2 linked regions of the Struthio camelus genome follow. The protein of the gene in region 2 interacts with the protein of the main gene of each other region in a pairwise test. Links are inferred from orthologs where the notes say so. Each region holds a gene or a part of one and is shown on either strand. Other genes may lie near its edges. The genes, in order: PRDX1 and GAPDH.

Region 1 (10,116 bases), on a different chromosome or scaffold from region 2:
TGCTCAGGATTCAGTTCTAGTAAGAACTGAGCCTGTCAGAACATTATACTTGGTTAAAAAGCTGATTCTTACCAGGCAAGATGGCAAAAGTGAGAGTCAACAGAAGCTCCAATTATTTCACAGTTAATTTTCTTGAATTCATCAGCTCTGTCACTGTATGCAATAATTTCAGTTGGACAAACAAAAGTGAAGTCCAGAGGGTAGAAGAAGAACACAACATATTTTCCTAAAAAAAGGAAGTAGTGTCACCAGTTCATCTTTTTACCTTAGGCTTTAACAGTTGTCATATTGACTAGCATAAATATTCGATAGCCACTGAGGAGAAGGAGCTAGATACAACAATACCTTTAATGATTAAAGGGTGAACTGCAGGTGCCCGTGTGAAGCTTGCTGTATAGGTAGCAAGCCCTACAAAGCACATAGGGGATTTTCATTTCAGCCAAATACCACTTGCAACTCTGTCCAAGGCTATCCTACAGCTAAAGGATAATATAAAACTCAAGTGAGGTCTGCTGAACTGGATGTTAACATTTAACAAGGGAACATCCATCTCAGGGGTCTAATCCCCCAGGCCTGCTCAGAGTACACCTAGTACCTACACCAGGAGACCCTGCAGTTGATTACTTACAGAATGCAGGATGCCATGTGCCTGAAAGGACAGAGGCCAAGAGACATTTCAACTGTTCAGGTGACTAGTCTACACCTAATAACTGCCTTCACACCACCTGAGAGCAAGGAACCTTCAGCTAGAGGTGCCTCTTTCTACATTTATCTGCATCAGCACTTGATTACTTAAGCCTTTCACTTGTATTTAAATGAGCTTTTTCTGCAAGGCAGACATTTTTGTCGTACTCTAGAGAAAGGAATATGATTGGTTAGCTGAAAGGGCACACTTCCCACTGCCAGAAAACCCATAAGAGACAAGATATTGTTATTCCACACAACACTGGAGATAGTGCATCTTCTTAATCATATTACAAAAAAGCCAGATAAGCCTGATGCAGCATTACGGTTTAAGGGAATTTTATGTTGATTAGCAGGAATTATAGTTGGGATATTTGGCCATGCTGTTAACAGCCTCCCTACAGCTTCCTAAGCTTTCTCCAGCCATCACTCAACAGAATCACTGCACAAGTTATTACATACTTCAGTCTACCACCAGTGTTCACCATTACTTTGGAACGGAATTAAAGCTGTCTTACTTAAGACGCCCTCCCCACCTTCAAACGCAAGATAGTGTATTTGTGTAATTAGAGAAGCAGATCAGCTTACCTTTATAATCAGAGAGTTTGATGTCTTTGAATTGTCCATCTGGCATTACAGCCGTGGCAGTAAAGTCAGGGGCTGGTTTTCCAATGAATGCCTTTCCTGAAGACATCTTGATTTGGTCTAGAACAGAGTTGTAACTGGCACAGTTAAGATAGCGCTATGTTTGTGCCTAAAAGCAAATAGTCAAAGCATCTTATCAATTTAGAACAAGTATCAACAGGGACAGTGTATCAGCAGTTGGTCTTGCAACGCAGGGCCCAAGAGCAAGATTAGTTTCTTGGGTAGTCCAGTCAAAGCAACGTGTTTTTAATCTCAAGAAGCAATGCAGTCAGATAAATATGTAGGTATCCAGACCAAGCTATTAACTAAATTGCTAACTATACAAGATTTATAGATCATTACTCTCCTAAGCAAGTAACAGTAATTATCTCTGACCAGATAACAGCTCAGAGTCTGCTAAAGAACTAGAGTTCTAGAGCATTCGATAACACTTCCAGTTTCACTTTGAACAAGTTAAATTCAAAAAATTAGACTTAAGTGAGGAGACCCTTGTTCAGGTTTACAAGGGAAGTTGAGACCTTGAATTTTATCTTCCTATTGATTCCGGAACAAAAGAACATTTGTTAACCTCCCAAGAACAATACCCTATAACTACACTGCAGCCTTTAAAAAAAATAAATTTTATTTGCAACTGGAAGACTCACAGGACACTTGGGAATAACGTTTTATGTTGACAGTTGACAATTAAAGTTGTACCAAGTCTTAAACTAGTAAGGCCAGGGTTTAGGTGTTTTCTTTTTTTCCCCCTGTTTATTTCAAGTCTCCCACTAAAGAGGGGGGCATAAGGACAAAAACTGTACTTCAAGTTGCCTGCCTTAAATGCTATTGCCACACATTGTACCAGGTCTTGTACAGTGTTTCTTTTGCTCTGTCAGTCTGGGAATACAGTACTTGTGTATCTATCACCTTAGAATTCCAGTTACTTCAGAAGTGTAATCTTTCAGAGATAACACTTGTGACCCTTACTTCTTCAGCTCACAGAAACGTTGTGCAGTTAATTCACCTAGTTAGTGGTTATAAACATCTAGTTGACTTGGAGACACTAGCCTCTGAAAGGTTAATACGAGTCTCACGTTGCAAGTGAAAGTAGAGATTTCAAGGATCCTTCTAGGTCTTGCTGGCAAGGCACAAAGTCTGTTTTTAAGCAGCTCCAGCACACCTCATTTCTTGGCTCCTTCTCCTTTGGCAGCCACATTCCTCCTAAAGGACTAGTCCAGAAGTCATAAGCCTTTAGTTTTCAACTCCAGTTTAAACTGCCCAGTTTAGCCTTTTTACTAGCACTGTTTTTATCTTTGAAAGGTTTTCTTGCATATCCTCACAGTATATAGTAATCAGCTATCTCTCAGCCTTCACCCTTTTAACCCCCTCCTGCAACAAGCTCTTCACCCCCTTGTTCATCCAGGCAGTTCAACTGCAGCACACTGAGCAAGTCTGATGAATCAAGGGCACCGAAACCATACTACAGCATGTTTGTGGGATCCTACTGAAAAGGTGGTCTAGTAGACAGATATTAATACTTCTGCTGTACATCTAATGTAACCATGAATGCAGATGCAATTCTAGGACTACAGTTCTGGAGGGTCAGGGGGGATAGACAGTCATTGCACAGTATTTTCTTTGAGATGCCTCCAACTAGTGAGTTTTATCTTATAAGCAATAGCTGTTTAGTCTGGAGTGCATGACCCTGCATTGTATATATCACCAAATTCCATTTTTTCCTATTACTCAAGCTCAAGGTCATCCACTTGCTCAGTAGTATGCTAGTCCTCCTCTATCTGTCCCATCAGCAAGTCCCCTGGAATGGTTTACTAGGGATTCAATGTCCAATAACAAAAGCTGTCAAACTTGCTCTTTGATACTGCCCCTCTCTAAGCTACAAGATGTTATCCCCCTTTCATATAACACAGTAAGGTGTTCAGTGTCAGCTTAGGAGACATAGCTGCGCCGTACTGCAAGAGAGCCATCTGCTTTCTTTGGAGCACCCGCTGCAACCTGCCAACATCTCTGCTTTTCTATGCAGGGTTAGTACGTGTTCTCACATGTTCTGCTTGGACTTAACCACAGCGTTTCCTAACCCACGGGGGAACAGGACACAGATTCAGTACTCTATTTCCTTTCCTCCTAGAGAAAAAGGATATAAACACTACAAATCAAGTACAGTTTAATCAGGTCAGAATATCTTTTAGCAGTCATAACTGCACACAGCCTCAATTATCTCCAAATGGCAGTTATAATAAACTAGTCCAGAACTCTAACCAGAAATTCATTGCTTTACAGTATTTGAACCATAGCAGAAGGACACTTCAAAACACACCATCCAGCCTTCCCCTTCACTACCTTCAGATTGCCACAAAAGTGTGGTTAAGTCACTGAGCTGCGGTCAGAAATTAAGAGTGATATTGTCACAGACCTCCTCGGTTCAGATATACCACAGCCAGGTATACACAGACCACTAAACTTATTTTGCTGAAAAAGTTCAGAAGGAAACCCTAAGCAGTCACCGGCACAAAGGTCACTAAATTGCTCTGTGACAAAGGACTGCAGCCCCCTGCACGCCCACACAGCAAACTCCTTCAACCCAGCCACACAGCCCCTTCTTTAAGCTTCAAGATCAGAGGCCTACGTGCTTGTGGATCACACCACTGTTATGCGAAGCTTTCAGGACACCAGGGCGGCGGGTGGGCTGCAAGGCCGCCCGCGGGCTGCACCGCTCCGCGCTGCTGCCGGAGCCGCTCCCCGCGGGCGCGCCCCAGCCCGGCTGCGCGCATCACCCTGCGAGCCCTCGCCAGCAAGCAGCGGGGAGAAAGCAGATAACGGCGAGCGCCTAAGAAAGGGTTAACAACCTCCCCTTCTCTCTCCCCACCCCCACAAAAACGAGAGAGACCGAGAGAAAAAACCACAGCGGGAGAAGGTCGGACCCCTCCTCGGGGGGGAAAGGCGGCAGAGAGCGAGAGCTCACCCTGCACCGCCTCCGCGCCCCTCTTTTGCGACCCCAACCGCGCAGAGCGGAAAGCAAAATCCGGGGGGGGGGAACAAACAAAAAAATATAACTCGCCGAACAATCCAGCATACCGCACCCGTTGCCCCGCGGCAGGTGCGCACCCTCCCCCCCCCCCCCCCCACCCGGGCGCTTACACAAAAGGGCGAGCGGCTCGCAGCTCCCTCCTCCACACGCCTGCAGGAAGCTCCGCGCTGCCGCAGCCCCCGCCGCGCCGCCGCCTTTATAGCCGCCCCGCTCTCGCGAGGACACGGCGCGGCGCGGGGGGCCCGGCCGCCGCCCGCCCGGGCCGCCCCGTGCAAGGGCAGCATGACTTGGCACATTCGGGCGAGCGCCTTGCTCGATAGCGAGCTGCCGGCCGCTTATCGCAACGGAGATGCTGCCCTGGCTGTTACAAGCGGCAAGAGAATTTGAATAAATGGAGCTGTTTGTACGGATAGCGTCCCGGGAGGTGGCACGAAAACATCCAGTGCAATAGTCATAAACAGTTAGTGGGAAGGTGGTTTGAATGGCTCTTTGCAAGAAGAAGCTTTTTTTTTTTTTTAATGCCTTAATATGAACAAGGTATAATTAGTTAAAAGTCAGTAGCCAAAAAAAGAGACAGAGGACGCACTCGATTTTGAATATCCAGATGGATATGACTAGTGTGCCATTTAGGTGGATGGGAGTTTTGCCATTGACTTTAATATCAATAAAATCAGACTTTCTATTAGCCAAACAATGTACACGCTCAGAAATTATTGCAGAGGGGGAGGTTTCACCTCCCTTTCTATTATAAACTGCCTCTTCAACCTGATACTAATTCTTAAGGCTTTCATTGATTCCATCAGTGGGAAGCCTGGTGCAAGCCATGTAAGTCAGGAATAAAGCCAAAAATTAAATTAAGCATGGTCTCAGAGCTTCGGGGTGCAGGATGAAAACTCTCGGAAGAGGCATTTATTCACTTCAAGGCAGCCTTGTATCCTTCCCAGAGCAAATCTACTCTGAGACATTTAGCCTGAGTGAATTCCCACACGCATTGAGTTTGGATCTAAGACTGAACTGAAACCTTGTATTTTTGACTGAGGTACAAAATTTGAATGTTAATATTTAAGTTTTATTAAACAGGTAGTGTTAAAGGCTATAAAGGGCATATCAACAACAAAATGGCTTGCTGTAGTCAGAAGTGATAAACTTGTTTACCAACTGACTTTTACTCCTTGTCTATTTCACAAAGTCATGTTCCTTATACCTGTTAAAACATGATTACGAATTGTACTGTGGAGAAAACCACAAAGGATTAACAAATTTTGAATGTTAAACAATCTAATCTACACTACTGTGTAGTGTTGCTCAGTGACCATACCTCCTGTGGTGATTCACCCAGGAGATGACTGGTTTTAATACTGGATGAAATTACTCTTTGATATGTAAAAAGCAACATAACCTGTATATGTATATTAAAAAATATATGCATTCGCCTTAATGCAAAGATGTTATCTACTGGGATCTCTATTGTTACAACACACTTAATCTTTTATAGAAGAGAAATGAAACTTTCTTAATGTGCCTCAGTCAATGTTAGGACAACTGAGGTCTATAAATTGAGGAATGTATATACCTACCTATCAACTCAGGCCATGATCCCCGGCAACAGGTTAACCTCAGAAACATCAGGCAGTCTGCACATGCAGAAAGCCCCCTGAATCCTGAACATAATGAATTTATTGTATATGTGCAGTACCCTCAGGGGCGTAGTAAGAGAAAAATCCTGACCTTTTGTGGACAGTTGAATATAATATAGGCAAAAAAGTCTAATGACTGAAATATTCTCAAGCCCCTGGGCATATATGCCTAAGCAGTTGGTGCACACTGGATTTCATGAAAACGATTATACATAATTAAATATATAGGGCACATATTTGCTTTTTCTTCTTTAGTTCAAATGAAGACTGTGTTTCTAGGTTAAAATGTCCATGTCACCTTTCCCTTCCCTACATACCTGTTTTTAAATAATTTTTATGACTGTATGCTTGGATGATCACTTCCTTTTGACGACAAAAGGATTTTATCTTCTTTCCCTTCTCTCTTTTACTCTCTCTATATTATTGGAGGCTGAGGTTTGTTAAAGTTTTATTACTTAGCATTCATATAATTCAAGCATCTTCCACAGTGTTAAGACTGTTATTTTCAAATGATCTGTGATTGGCAGTGTCTTCCTAAAAGCAAACCAAACCCAGCGCTCTCCCTCCCCTTTATTCTCTCCTCCTTCCCAGTTTTGTATTTCCCGCCATGTTACTTTTTGTTGCATTTTCCTTGCACTCTCTTTCCGTTTTCCTGCATTTTGCCTAAACAGGCTGCACCACAGAAAAATCTGGTCATGTGACTGCCCAAGAGCATAATTAACCTTTGTTCCTTTAAGTCTCTGGGATGGTTTAGGTCAGAACAACAATAAAAGAATCTGCAGCAGAGTGATCTTTCCGAAAGGAAATAACATCCTCTTCAAAGCTCTGTTAGATATGTATTTTGCTTGTATTTCTGATAGGATCTTACTGTACTTTTCAGATTCTCAAAGTTTATATATTACTTATAAGAATGGAAGCTTGGAGTAAAACTCAAAACTGGTTGTAATTGTCTTTAGTTGTGGTTAAGTACAGAGTGCAGTACACCTAGGGATGCTCTTCTCTCAGTTACAGGCCAAATTCTGCTCCTGTTCAAGCCAATAGAAGTTGTGTCTTTGACTTAGCAAGACTGTACGTACTCAGGACTAATGATTCTAAATTAAATTCAGTCATGTTTTTAATGTAGTTAAACCTTACTCTCAACCTTCTTGCACAAATAAGGAAATGCACTCTTGTGCACCTGCATTAAAAGGTGCCCATGCCCCCTCAGGAACTACCACTTCTTTCTCTTTGTTGCACCTTTTAGCAAAAAAGCTAAAGCAAAATGAATTTTACCAGCCTTGCACATTCCCTGGATTCCTAATATTTAGGATTGCACATTAAAACAGAGGAAAAATTCTGTCTTCCTACCAGCTAAGGTACCTAATCCTGATGGTTATGTTTTGTTTGCAATTTCCCTTTGTGTGCTGCAGACTATGAGATGCATTACTCAACGTGCTGTGAAGGGGAGAGTCTGAGCAGTTTGACTTTCCTGCTGGGAACCGAACAGACAGCAGAGGAAAAATAAACAGAGCAAAGCTGGAGAATTAACCGAGAGGAGGCTGGCACCGATGGCATGGCAGGCTGGCAGCCAGGCCCGCGAGGCCTCGCAGCGGGACACGGCAGCCGGCTTCAAAACACATGCCAGCAGGGGAGGCCTGCAAGAGCCCCTTGCCACGGCAGAGGCAAACTCCTCCCTTCCTAGCAGCGACACTCATTGCCCGATTTGGGGGAGGGGGGTCCTTTTCTTGAAAGGAACTATCTTGCGTTTTTTAGGCTGGGTGACATGCTTTGCACAGTACAAGCAACCTCCCCTTCCCCGCCGCCACGAAAAGCGCACGTTGCCGAGGGCGGGCCGGGGAGACGGTTTGCAAAGCAGCGCGGAAGGCCGAACAGCCGCGCCTGCTCGCTGCTCCCCGCGCAGGGCGGCGGGGGCTGGCCCGGCTGCCGCCTGGCAGGTCGCGGCCGGAAACGGAAGCGGCGGGCAGCGGCGGCGGCGGTGCCGGCACGGGCGGGCGGGCGGCAGCGGTGCGAGGGAGCGAGGGACCGAGCGAGCGGCGGGTGAGTGCGGCTGCGGGCGCGCAGGGCCGCCGCGGCGCCCCGTGTCCGTGTCCGTCTGCGCCGCCCTGCTGCGGGCGCCGCCGGAGCTCGGGGAGGGATGAGGAGGCGCCCAGGCGTGGGGAGCTGGTACCCGAACTGCCGGGCAAAGGCGATCGCGTACCGGGGCTTCTGTGTTTTCTTCCACTTTTGTTTTGTTTTGGTTTGTTTTTTTTTTTTTGAAGGTGGAAGACTCGTTACTTTGGATTAAAAATGAGCTTTATCTATAGGCTGATAAACTAATGTAGGTTACACTTTTCTGGTTATTAATAACTACTCCCAGTCAGGCTACCTACGTGGCTTTTGAATCACTCTGGGCTTTACTCCTCTAGATGAGTGTGGGAACAGGAGAGGCAAGTGTTGTTAATCTAAACCCACATTTTACTTGTTCAGAATTGGTGTGCTTTTATATTTATTTTTGTTCTTAGTGTTACCAAAAAAAAAAAAGCTTCCCACTTCTTACTGATCCAAGTAGTGATGATGAGTGGACACTGTAGTTTCCTTACATCCTCTTGTTAGGAGAAGAGTCTGAGTGGAAAGTATTAATTGTTCTTCTAGAGTGTCTAGTTCTGGAACTTTTCCATTCTTCCAGAGTCTCTACTTCTGCTATCTCTGCGATGTTAATGTACAACACTGTTACATGAAGTGAAATGATTCTTTGCAAATGTGCTGATGCCAGTTACTGATTAAACACATGTACCTTGTCTTCTGGGCTGAAGTGCTACGTTTAGGATGGTTGTGTAAGATGTTTGTGTGAAGTGTGGTAGTTTGTATGTTATTTGTGTTATGGGCCAAGGTGAATCAAAAAGTTTCTAGTTGCATTGCATGATTTGAGGAGATGCTTTTATTTAGGTGGTTACATCCAGGTAAAAATATGAGTGTCCACTTGTGTGCACTGCCTGCAAAACAGCTACGCTGATTCAGGGAATGTTGTTCACATGTTCAGTGTCGCGTTCTGCTTCTCTGACTTCTTACCTCAAATAACCCATGTGCACCCACAATCTAATTAACAGTGACTGCCTTCAACACCAACATATTGACTTAATGCATCTCAGTGCAGATCCCAAACCACTAATTCATGTTGAACTACTCTGTCTCTTTGTAAAACAAGCGTGCTGTTACGTGTCTATGTAGCGTAAATCTACCAAAATATGCCCTGAGAAGCTAAGCGTGAAATTAAAAATACAAACTTTCTGTGTTACCAAATCTGTCAGTAAGGACTGCCTGTATGAGGAAGGTGATCACAATGTTGTGGAAAAGGCAGAGCTATTTTGGGGTAGTGTGCTGTGTGAATGCTTTACTTGGAAGACATACATTCCTCCTACATAGATGATCTGAAAACCAGCGTTGCATGCTTCCGCTCTTGTGAATGTTATCTGTTTGAAAATACAAAACTAGTTTGGGCATTGCTGAACTTGGGAAACAACTTCCTCAGCTTCTGCTGAAATAGGCTAGCTGGCTCTGGAACACATCCTGAATGTGGTTTCTTTTTAATAATTTCACAAGATGTACTGTGAGGATGTTGGAATACACTGCAAAACCTTCCTTTTTGATTAAAAAGCTTTTCCACTGTAAGCAGATTGCTGGGTGCAACAGCTATAACACCAGCAATTGAAAACCGAACAAAGGTTCCAGTAGGATCTTCTATTGAATTTCACATGGGAAACGCTTGGCTATCATAGTATTAAGCGTGAGAGAGAAGCCCAGGCTCAAAACGGCTATTTGCTTTGCATCCTTTTTTGCCATTCTCCCTTTAGCAAGAAAAGAATGCTGCTGCTCTGTGAATTTGTGCTAAATCAGTGTATGACCCTTTCTACAATGGCAATAATAGCTGTTACGTTGTCTGTACTCGAAACGTTCCATGCAAGAGTTGAGCTCTTACTCTCTAATTTTCTGCAGAAAAAAGGTTCAGTACACGTACATGGTTTCAGTGATATGGGAACAGACAATCTTTCATCTTTAAAAAAAATAGTATCCCTTTCTGATCGAGTAGGAAGACAGGGAAGAGCAGGAAGACAGAAAGTTATTCTGGGATTCAAAATGCCCAAATCT
Region 2 (9,177 bases):
ACCACACCTTATTTTGGCTCAAGGGCAGGAGTCTCACCACTTACAGTAAGCACAGGTAACTCACTACTCTAAATACCACAGCTCTACTTGCTGCAGCCTTGCACTCAGTGGAGCTAGGCACTTACTGTCTTCAGATCTTGTATCCCAGGACTGCTCCACACCTATGCCTGACCAAAGTTGTCCAAACATCTCTCATGTCATTCCTCATGCCTGCACCACCTGAATTTTCTGTCTTCACATGCTGTCAGTAGCACATTGGGCACAGAACACTTTACTAGTACATGGAACAGCTGGTCCAACAGTTACAGCCAGGCTGCTAGGACCTATCTTAGAGCAGACACAACACTTGCTGTTTTCCTCCACCTTCCCCCATTGACAGACAGACAAGATGTTTCAGATGGTGAACACTTTATTGATGTAAGGTGGTAAAGAAACAGATCAGTTTCTATCAGCCTCACCATCTCCCCCAGGCTCAGGGGCAAGTTGGAGAAGTGGGGGAGGCAGAAGGGAACAGAACTGGCCTCTCACTGCAGGCTGCAGAGCTAAGTGGTGGTGAAAAGGGCAGGGTCTCTAGCAAAGGAGAGTCCTGCTTCCCTAGGCAGCAGGGGGGGGGTGTCTCGTGTGTTTGGCTCACTCCTTGGAAGCCATGTGGACCATCAAGTCCACAACACGGTTGCTGTATCCATACTCATTGTCATACCTGGAGGCAGAAACACAAGAGCTGAGCTTTCTGGACTGTTTCTTGCATCACACCATCCTATATAAGAGTACTGCTCCTCTACCGCGGCTCAGAAAAGGGAGGCAGAAGGGCTATTTCCCGATACAGAAAACAAGCAGCACCCCATCCACTCTCCCGTAAGGGAAGGAAAAGGCTGCAGTTGTCAGATATGAAGCAACATCACTCCTAAGACTTTTAGGTGTTGGAGCCACCCCACTCAGCAGCAGTAGATTTATCAGTATACAATGCCAGCTGGTGGTGGTGAACAGAACAAAAAACCTGGGACAACTGCCAGCTCCCACCCTCCCACCAAGAGCTCAAGTGCTCCCTTCCACACCCCCCAGGCTGTGCATACCAGGAAACCAACTTCACGAAGTGATCATTCAGTGCAATGCCAGCACCTGCATCAAAGGTGGAGGAATGGCTGTCACCATTGAAGTCACAGGAGACAACCTGGAAGAGAGGAGATTCTAACTCAGTCCTCCACCCCACAGATGGAGGCAGCCTGACCCAGGAGTGCCATAAGCAGAATCCCAGCAAGGCAGCTCCCAGCAGGAAGACGAGAGTGCTACCAACCACAGGCTGAGACACTGAAAGCTGTTTACCTGGTCCTCTGTGTATGCCAGGATGCCCTTCAAGGGCCCATCAGCAGCAGCCTTCACTACCCTCTTAATGTCATCATACTTGGCCTGAGAATAGAGACAACATTAAGAGGGTCAGATCCCAATTCACACAAAATTGTCAGCTGGGCCAGGGAAGGGGGTAGAGAGGAATGACACAGCTACAGCCCAGATACTGGGAGCAGCACAGCAGGTGCTATTCTTGCCAAGACCAAGTATTCCTGGTCATCACCAGGGCTGAGTGGGAAGAGTGTGGGAGGAAGACACAGATGTAGAGGGGGCAATTCTAGATAAGAGGAATTTGGAGGAAGCAGGAGCAGGTTTGGAGGTTAAGGCCTTCCCCACAACACTCACTGGTTTTTCCAGACGGCAGGTCAGGTCCACAACAGAGACATTTGGGGTTGGCACACGGAAAGCCATTCCAGTAAGTTTCCTGTCAGAGAGGTAAGAGTCAGAACAGCAGTCAGCACCCCTCTGCCAGCCTTCTATTCCGCTAGGAATGGGCCAGAGCCAGCCAGGCACTGTCTACCTCCTTCCGACACCTGAGAAGGGCTGACACTCACCCATTGAGCTCAGGGATGACCTTTCCTACAGCCTTAGCAGCCCCAGTGGATGCTGGGATAATGTTCTGGGCAGCACCTCTGCCATCCCTCCACTGCTTCCCAGAGGGGCCATCCACTGTCTTCTGTGTGGCTGTGATGGCATGGACAGTGGTCTTGGGGAAGAGAGCACAGGAATAAGAACACAGCCAATAACTTTCAAAAAACATCCTGAATGCTTAACTCCCCATCCCAAGGAACACAGGGAGGCTAGCCCTCTTACTGTGTGAGTTTACACCCCTCACAAACACAGAGCCCGTGGACAGTTACTTCTCTTCTCACATGAAGAAACGTGGGGATAGGACACACTAAGCAGCAGGCTTTAGACCTACCATAAGACCCTCCACGATGCCAAAGTTGTCATGGATGACCTTGGCCAAGGGCGCCAAGCAGTTGGTGGTGCAAGAGGCATTGCTGAGGAAAAGAGAAAGACACACATCAACCAGAGGCAGTATACCTACCCATGAAAGATGAGACCCCATGCAGCTGGTGAAAGTTCCAGGCCAGAGAGCATCCTCTTCTCTCCTTACCTGACAATTTTCAGCGACTTGTCATACTTGTCATGATTGACACCCATCACAAACATGGGAGCATCAGCTGAGGGGGCAGAGATGATAACACGCTTAGCGCCACCCTTCAGGTGAGCCTGTGAGAAGAGAAGGAGATCAGTTAACCCAGAATACCCCAACAGCTTGGAGAGCAAGATACTTCCTCAGACACCCTCTTCTCCCTCCCAGCCATCTCCTCCACATCTTGAACTCTGTACATGGTGATGTGCCCCACAGGTAGGAGCAGCAAGCGTCCTTTCTCCCACATGCCACTGGCCTACTCACGCTAGCCTTCTCTGTAGTGGTGAAGACACCAGTGGACTCCACAACGTATTCAGCACCAGCTTCTCCCCACTTGATGTTGCTGGGGTCACGCCTGAGGAGGGACAAAATCATAAGAGTTGCTCTGTGAGAGATCTGTTTTCACCCTTCCAAGGGATGAGAGGGAGAAAGAGATACTTACTCCTGGAAGATGGTGATGGGGTTCCCATTAATCACAAGTTTCCCATTCTCAGCCTTGACAGTGCCCCGGAAGTGACCATGAGTAGAGTCATATTTGAACATGTAAACCTAGCAAGGAGAGAGAAGGGGGCGGGGGGGGGGGGGGGAAGAGGTCAGGCACCCTAGCTGCAACCCCCCATCCCTTGCTCTTGCAATCACAGATCCCAGAGTTCTCCAGTGAGCTGATCCAACTGCTGCTCTGTACTCGGCTCCACCAAATCTGCTGGGCCCACAACCCTACGCTTTGTCTCTCTCATTCCACCCACAGCCCCACACCTGACATCCATGGGGAGCTGCCAGAACAGAGCTAGGGGAGTCCACTGCCCCACTGCAAGAGGCAAACTGCATAGAAGGCCTGGAGGAGACACCACGAGGCAACTCACCATGTAGTTCAGATCAATGAAGGGATCGTTGATGGCCACCACTTGAACTTTGCCAGAGAGGATGGCAGCCCTGGTGACCAGGCGGCCAATGCGGCCAAATCTGGGGAGAGAGATGCACAGATAAGTAGGAGGAGCAAGGAGCCTGGCTGGCTGGGCAAGGCAGGGCATAACAGTCCATGGCTTTCCCTCTGGGACATCGGCTGCTCCCTGCCCAGAGGGGCAGAAGGGAGCCCATCAGCTGCGTTCAAAGGCCAAGGAGCCCCAATTGAAGATTAAGAGCGACCCCTGCTTGGGGCAGCCGCGCAGGAAAGGTCAGGCGCTAAATTTACTGCAGGATCCGGTTACTCCTCACAGCACGGTGGGAGAAGGTCACATTCCCCAGGGCCCCCGGGGCTCCTGCGACACACGATCTCCCTGGCATCCTTCCGACGGGGGTCACCAGCCCGGCCCCGAGCGGTGGCACCCGGCAGGGCCGGGCAGGACAAGGCAAGGCGAGCCGGGCCGCGGGCGCTCGCCGCGCAGGGTGACTCAGCCCGACTCGGCCGGGGGGGAAAAGGGGGAAGTGACTCAGTGCCCCGCCCTCGCCGGGGCCGCTACCCCAGGGGGGACGAGTTGCCCCGCGGCGCGGCGCGCAACGGCTCATCCGCGCGTCCTTGGCGCCACCTTGCGCCTCCCCCGCGCCCGCCCACCCGCCCGCTCCTCTCCCCTCCCCCCCCAACCCCGCACACTCACCCGTTGATTCCGACTTTCACCATCTCGCCTCTCAGGGATGTTGGTGCCTGCGGGGAGAGAGCGGCGCTGAGAGGCGCGCAGAGCGGGGCGATCCGCCCCGGGGGAAGGGAATCTTCCCCCCCCCCCCCCCGCCATCTTGCCGCCTTTGTGCCCGGGGGCGCCCAGCCGCCATGCGCCCCCCCCCCCAAAGCTTCCCTGCTCCCGCCCCACGGCAGCGCAGCCCCCCCCCCACCCAGAAACAGGACTGCCCGCCCGCCCGCCGCCTTTCCGTCTCCCCCCCTCCCATCCCCCAGCCCCCTTACCTGCCGCCTCCGACCCGGCCCTGACGGACAGTGAGAAGGTGGCGCCGCGCCGCGCCGCCGCTTTTTATAGCGGCGGAGGGGAAATGGCGGGTCCCGCCCCGTCGGGCCGGCGCCGAATGGGAGTGCGGGGGCCGGGCCGGGCTACGTGCGCTGGGGGGCTGCGGCAGCGGCGGCGCCCCCCTCCCCCCCCACCGGGCCGCGGGCAAAGGTCCCCCCAGAGGGGCCCCCGCCGCCCCCTCGGGGCCCGGGGCTGCGCTGCGCTGGGGGGGTGCAGCGCTCCTCGGGGGAGGGAGGATTGCAGTGGGGTGGGGGGGGACCGCAGTGCTCTGCCCCTTGCCAGCGCTGAGGGGCCTCTGCGCTGTGCGATGTTGGGGCGGGGGGAGGGAGGCCAGGGCATGGCTGGCCCCAGGGGGAAGCGGGGCTGTCGGGGTGCGTGGGTTGCGCTCAGCGCCGCACACCTGAGCTGGGGGGCCCGGCACCCCCCTGGCAGGGCGCGCGCGGCCCCTCCGGCTGCCGCCTGCCCGAGCCCCGCGGCTTGCGAAGGGAGGCCACGCGGCCGCAGCCCCCCGTTCGGGGAGGTTAGGAAGGAGCCTGGTGTCGGGCTCCGGCCTCTCGCTAGCCGGGGGCTGCTTCTGCCAGGCGCGTGTGCGGCCACGCGTGCCTTGCTGGGCCTTGCCCAGCCGCCGCGCGACATGGTGGGCGCCGCTTTCCTTGGCGGCCCGGCAACAAGGGGGGAGGCCACAGCGTGCGCCGCTCTCTGCACCCCTTTGGCCCCCCCGGCCCCGGTGGGGGCGGGAAGGGCTGCACTGTTGCCGGGGCCATCCCGAGGGCGCAGCAGGTTGCCCAGCCCAGCCCCCCTCTTCCCCACATGTCGCTGGGGGGAAGCGGGGCCGTGCTGCCCTTGGCCTGCTGCTCTCGGGGGGGGGGGGCTGCTGTTTTGCCCCCGCTCTTGCCAGGGCCCCGAGCTGCCCCACGCTGCGCTAGCCAGGCGCGCTGTGAGCGCGCCTGCTGACCCAGCCTCCCCCCGGCCGCCGGCCAAGGCCTCGACATGCTGCGCCGAGCGGCGTGAGCACCATGTTAATGAGGAACCGGGGAGGCTGCTACTCGCGGGACGTGACTGCGGAAATCCTGCCTACCACCCCGCGCTGCCGGCTCGCATCCACGCTGTCGGGGCGCGTTCATTGGCTGGGGGCAGGCCAGGGCCTGGGCCGGGCGCCGGTGAGGAGAGAGTGCTCCTCGCATGATGGCCGTCCCTGCCCTGCATGCCTGCCGGCTGCTCCGGGGCAAGGCCGGGATCCCGCCGGCTCTGCGCTGAGACCTAGAGCATGTCTCAAAGCGGCTGTTCCCTGGGGAGGGAGCTCTGAGCATGCACGCGCCCGGCTTAGGCATGCAGGGAGAGGAGCGCGTGGGAATACGGGAGATGTGCAGCTGGGCCCGGATAGGGCAAGGCAGAGGGATGAAACCTTCCCCCGTTGTAGCTCGGCTGGCCAGGGCTTTAGGGTCAGCCGAGTGGGATCCCTGAGGATGGGAAGGACGGAGCGGGCTCGGGGAGCAAAGCAGATACCGGGGGGGGGGGGGTCTGGAGATGGGTCACCCAGCTCAGACGTAATCCAACGCTCCTTATCCTGCTGCTATTCCCGGTGCTGCCAAGGGGCAGGCAGCTAAGTTTAGCCCCAGCTGAGGTTACGACATTTTCTTAAAGGCCATGTGGGATGGCTCATGTGCTGCAGCGATGCAGCTGGAGGTTGCAGGGAGCCCAAAGGATCCCGTGCCTCATTCGAGGCATCGCAAATGTAGCCTGGGAAGGGCCAGAAGAGGGGTCAGGGTAACTTTTGGGGGCTGCCTTAAATTTCTGCCCAAATAGGAGGCCCACTGTTTGCTCAGCAAACATGGGTGCCGCCGAGTACTCTGTGCAGGGGGACAGAGTGCAGGTGGGATGAGCCAACGCAGCAGCTCCCAGCCCCGTGCCCCTGAGCCTGGCCGGCAACCGGGATTTCAAGGCTCCACCCTAGCTGCTTGGAGCCCGTGCTGGAAGGCAGACGGGCACCTGGCGGCCCTGGCTGCAGGGCCTGCAGGGGCAGCCGGGGGCTGAGCTCAGCTCCTGGCTGCTGGAGAGGATGGGTGTGGTACGGGTAGCTTGGCTTGGGAGAGCGGGCGGCTGCACTTCCAGCCATCTCCTACTTGCTGAATTAGGCTGAATCTGTGCACGTGGGCTTGGCAGGGGGCGCGAAAAGTGCCTAGTCATAACGGCAGGGTTTCAGTAAGGCTGTGTCTTTGCAGCCCTTTGCAGCTCTCCTTTGCAGGAAGGAGAGGCAGAAGAGGCATCTCAGACTCAGGGCTCACTGAGGTTAGCCGGAGTGATGGGAGCCGCCTGGCCGTTATATAACTGCTAGGCCCCAAGGGGACAGCCACGGGGTCGCTCACGGCACTGGCAGGCTGGAGGCGCAGGGCTGAGAAATGGCTCCCTCGGCCTGCGGTTTGCTAGCCCCCAGGGATCAGCAGCATGCACCCAAAATGGCCCCGCAGCACGTGGGGGCTGCGCCACCACTGCCACCACCGGGCCGGGGGCTGCGCCAGGTCTCGGGCTCTGCCGCCACCTCCCGGCAGCCGGCGGGTGCCAGGGCGGCGGGGAAAGGCATCGTCCCTGGCCTGCCTCTCGCTTGTCCACAAACCGGAGGCCTGACAACAGCCGAGGTCGCTGCTGCGGAGGTGGTGCTGCTGTGGGGTTTGGGCAAATGCTGCAGAGTCTGGACGAGACAAACAAACAATACAGCTCTTTTTAATTAGCAAGTCAGTTCTTAAGCACAAATGGCAGGAGAGAGAACAGCCAAGGCCTGTGAGCCCCTGCCAGCTGGGCAGCGGGACCTGCTAGCCGAGCAGAGAGGGGGGCGGCACACGCCTGGGAGGGGTCCTGGGGCTCCAGGCGGTAGCAGAGCTGGACAACCCCTGTGCTCAGCCCGCTTTGCACCACTTCATAACTTCCCTGCTGCAGCGGTCCTTCAGCCAGCAGCCTAGGGCAGGGGTTTTAGGGCTTCAGCGGTGGGCATGCCATGCTCATCCCCATTTTGTCCCAAGCAGGTTCTCCAGACGCTTCAGTCTCCTGTGCCTGTGCAAAAGCAATGCCTGTGAGCCTCGTGGCAGCGTGCAACCCACCTGCTCCCCGTTCACCACCCAGACTCCGAGGGCTGGTAGCCCAGAGGTCACTACTCTCATGTAGTAGCAGCCAAGCTCTCTGACTTTGGCCCACCAGCAGTCAGGCGGTGTCCCGCTGTGCCCCATCAGCCCCTGGGTTCAGCTTGCTTCCCTGTTGCCCAGGTCCCCCTGTTCCTGGTTCTCCCTATGGTTTATGTTCTGGAGTCCCCCCTTGCTTCTCTGCTGCCCTCGCTGCTGTCTCTCTCACCTCAGAGTTTCTCCAAGGCTAACACCCCAAACCACTGAAGGTCCCAATCCGGTCCATTTTCAGTCCAAAGCAGCCCCTGGGCATGGCCTTCCAGGCCCAATCTCCAGCCAGTGCCCACTTGCGATTGGCCAGGGTCTTGCGCCAGAGCGGGAGTCGGGCAGTTCTGGCCCCAGATGGGAGGAAAGGGAGGGTGGAGGAGAGCAACGGAGGTCCAAAGCTGGACCCTTCCTTCATGTCCTCTTCAGCCAGCATGGATTCAGAGTCCAGGGGCAGCAACTGGGAAAGAAACATCTGGGAAGGTGGGATAAACAGAGAGGAGGCAAGGGTGAGAATGGTATTGCCTGTGCTCCTGTGTCTCATTTCTCTCTCCTGGTGATAACCCAATGTGCCCAAAGCCTGCTGTCCTGCTGCCCCAAATCTTCCCTAGGATGCAGGCAGGACTTAAATGGTGTCTGTACACGAGGCATTGTGTTTGTGACGTATTCAGGCATGGGGATCCCCAAGGGAAGGGCTAGACCAGCTACTCCTACGGTCTGCAATGATTTCTCTGTCCGAAGTAGGAAGCTGGTTTAGGCCTCTGTGTGCGAGTTGCTTGCCTTGCTGTTGTCAGACAGGTCCCCCTGTACTTGGAAAGTAATTTGAGTCTTCAGTCCTTGGTCTTCTTGCTGATGCTGAGCTGCTGTTTATTCTTCCATGTGCTCAGACTGTTTTCTGGCCCTTTGTTTTCCCAGAGGGCTGGGGGGGGGGGGTGGGGGTGAATGGATCTACCCGAAATACCTGGTGCTAAAGAGGGGCAGGAATGGCAGTGTCGCAGGAGCAGGTGTGAAGAAGGGGGCTCCTCATCCACTGGGGAGTCTTTAGCCTTTCTGGGCAGGTGGAGATGTGCTGATTATAGCCCTCAATCACTGCTGGCGGCCTTTGGCTGCTGAGAGGCAAAGGTCAGGAGGTGCGCTGGGCCCAGAGGCGCTAATGACCCAGTATCTGGCAGTATTGCGCAGGGAAGCAGCCTGCAGTAGCCGTTCCATATCTGTTCCCCGCATGGACACTGACTTAAGGCTGAAGAGCCTTTGTGCGGTTCAGCTCCATCCCTTTCTGTAGCGAGTTTACTGAAGCAGACGAAGGCATCTTCAGAAAGCCTCTGCGCGATGAGTCAGAACAGAATCAGTCTTGGTTTTTTTTTTAGCTCACATCCTAAATAATTTACTGTAGCTTTTCTTCTTGAACCACATGGTCAAGGCAATGTTAGCACAAAGCATTGAGGCTCAGGGTAGGATTTGGGTAAGAGGGAGCTGGGAAGACTTGAAAGCTATAAGCAGTGTTTCTGCAGTGGGTGAGAGTAAAAGATTTACCAAAGTGAAGAAGCCCTTAGCTAGT

The links.
Region 1: the proteins of GAPDH (region 2) and PRDX1 interact in a two-hybrid assay, tested with the Homo sapiens proteins (2 studies listed by BioGRID and IntAct, with this or other methods). The link is inferred for Struthio camelus from reciprocal best matches to the Homo sapiens genes GAPDH and PRDX1.

Annotation. Positions count from the first base shown.
Region 1 is NC_090949.1:27,416,497-27,426,612, forward strand, and holds the start of PRDX1 (peroxiredoxin-1), read right to left. Parts: upstream 4,602-10,116; 5' UTR 4,465-4,601; intron 1,439-4,464; exon of another isoform or gene 1,390-1,438; 5' UTR 1,379-1,389; coding exon 1,273-1,378; intron 227-1,272; coding exon 73-226; intron 1-72. UniProt on the Homo sapiens protein: Thiol-specific peroxidase that catalyzes the reduction of hydrogen peroxide and organic hydroperoxides to water and alcohols, respectively.
Region 2 is NC_090942.1:90,955,297-90,964,473, forward strand, and holds GAPDH (glyceraldehyde-3-phosphate dehydrogenase), read right to left. Parts: upstream 4,594-9,177; 5' UTR 4,404-4,593; intron 4,149-4,403; 5' UTR 4,125-4,148; coding exon 4,102-4,124; intron 3,470-4,101; coding exon 3,370-3,469; intron 3,056-3,369; coding exon 2,949-3,055; intron 2,862-2,948; coding exon 2,771-2,861; intron 2,584-2,770; coding exon 2,468-2,583; intron 2,352-2,467; coding exon 2,270-2,351; intron 2,054-2,269; coding exon 1,902-2,053; intron 1,772-1,901; coding exon 1,693-1,771; intron 1,408-1,692; coding exon 1,324-1,407; intron 1,172-1,323; coding exon 1,074-1,171; intron 701-1,073; coding exon 631-700; 3' UTR 392-630; downstream 1-391. UniProt on the Homo sapiens protein: Has both glyceraldehyde-3-phosphate dehydrogenase and nitrosylase activities, thereby playing a role in glycolysis and nuclear functions, respectively.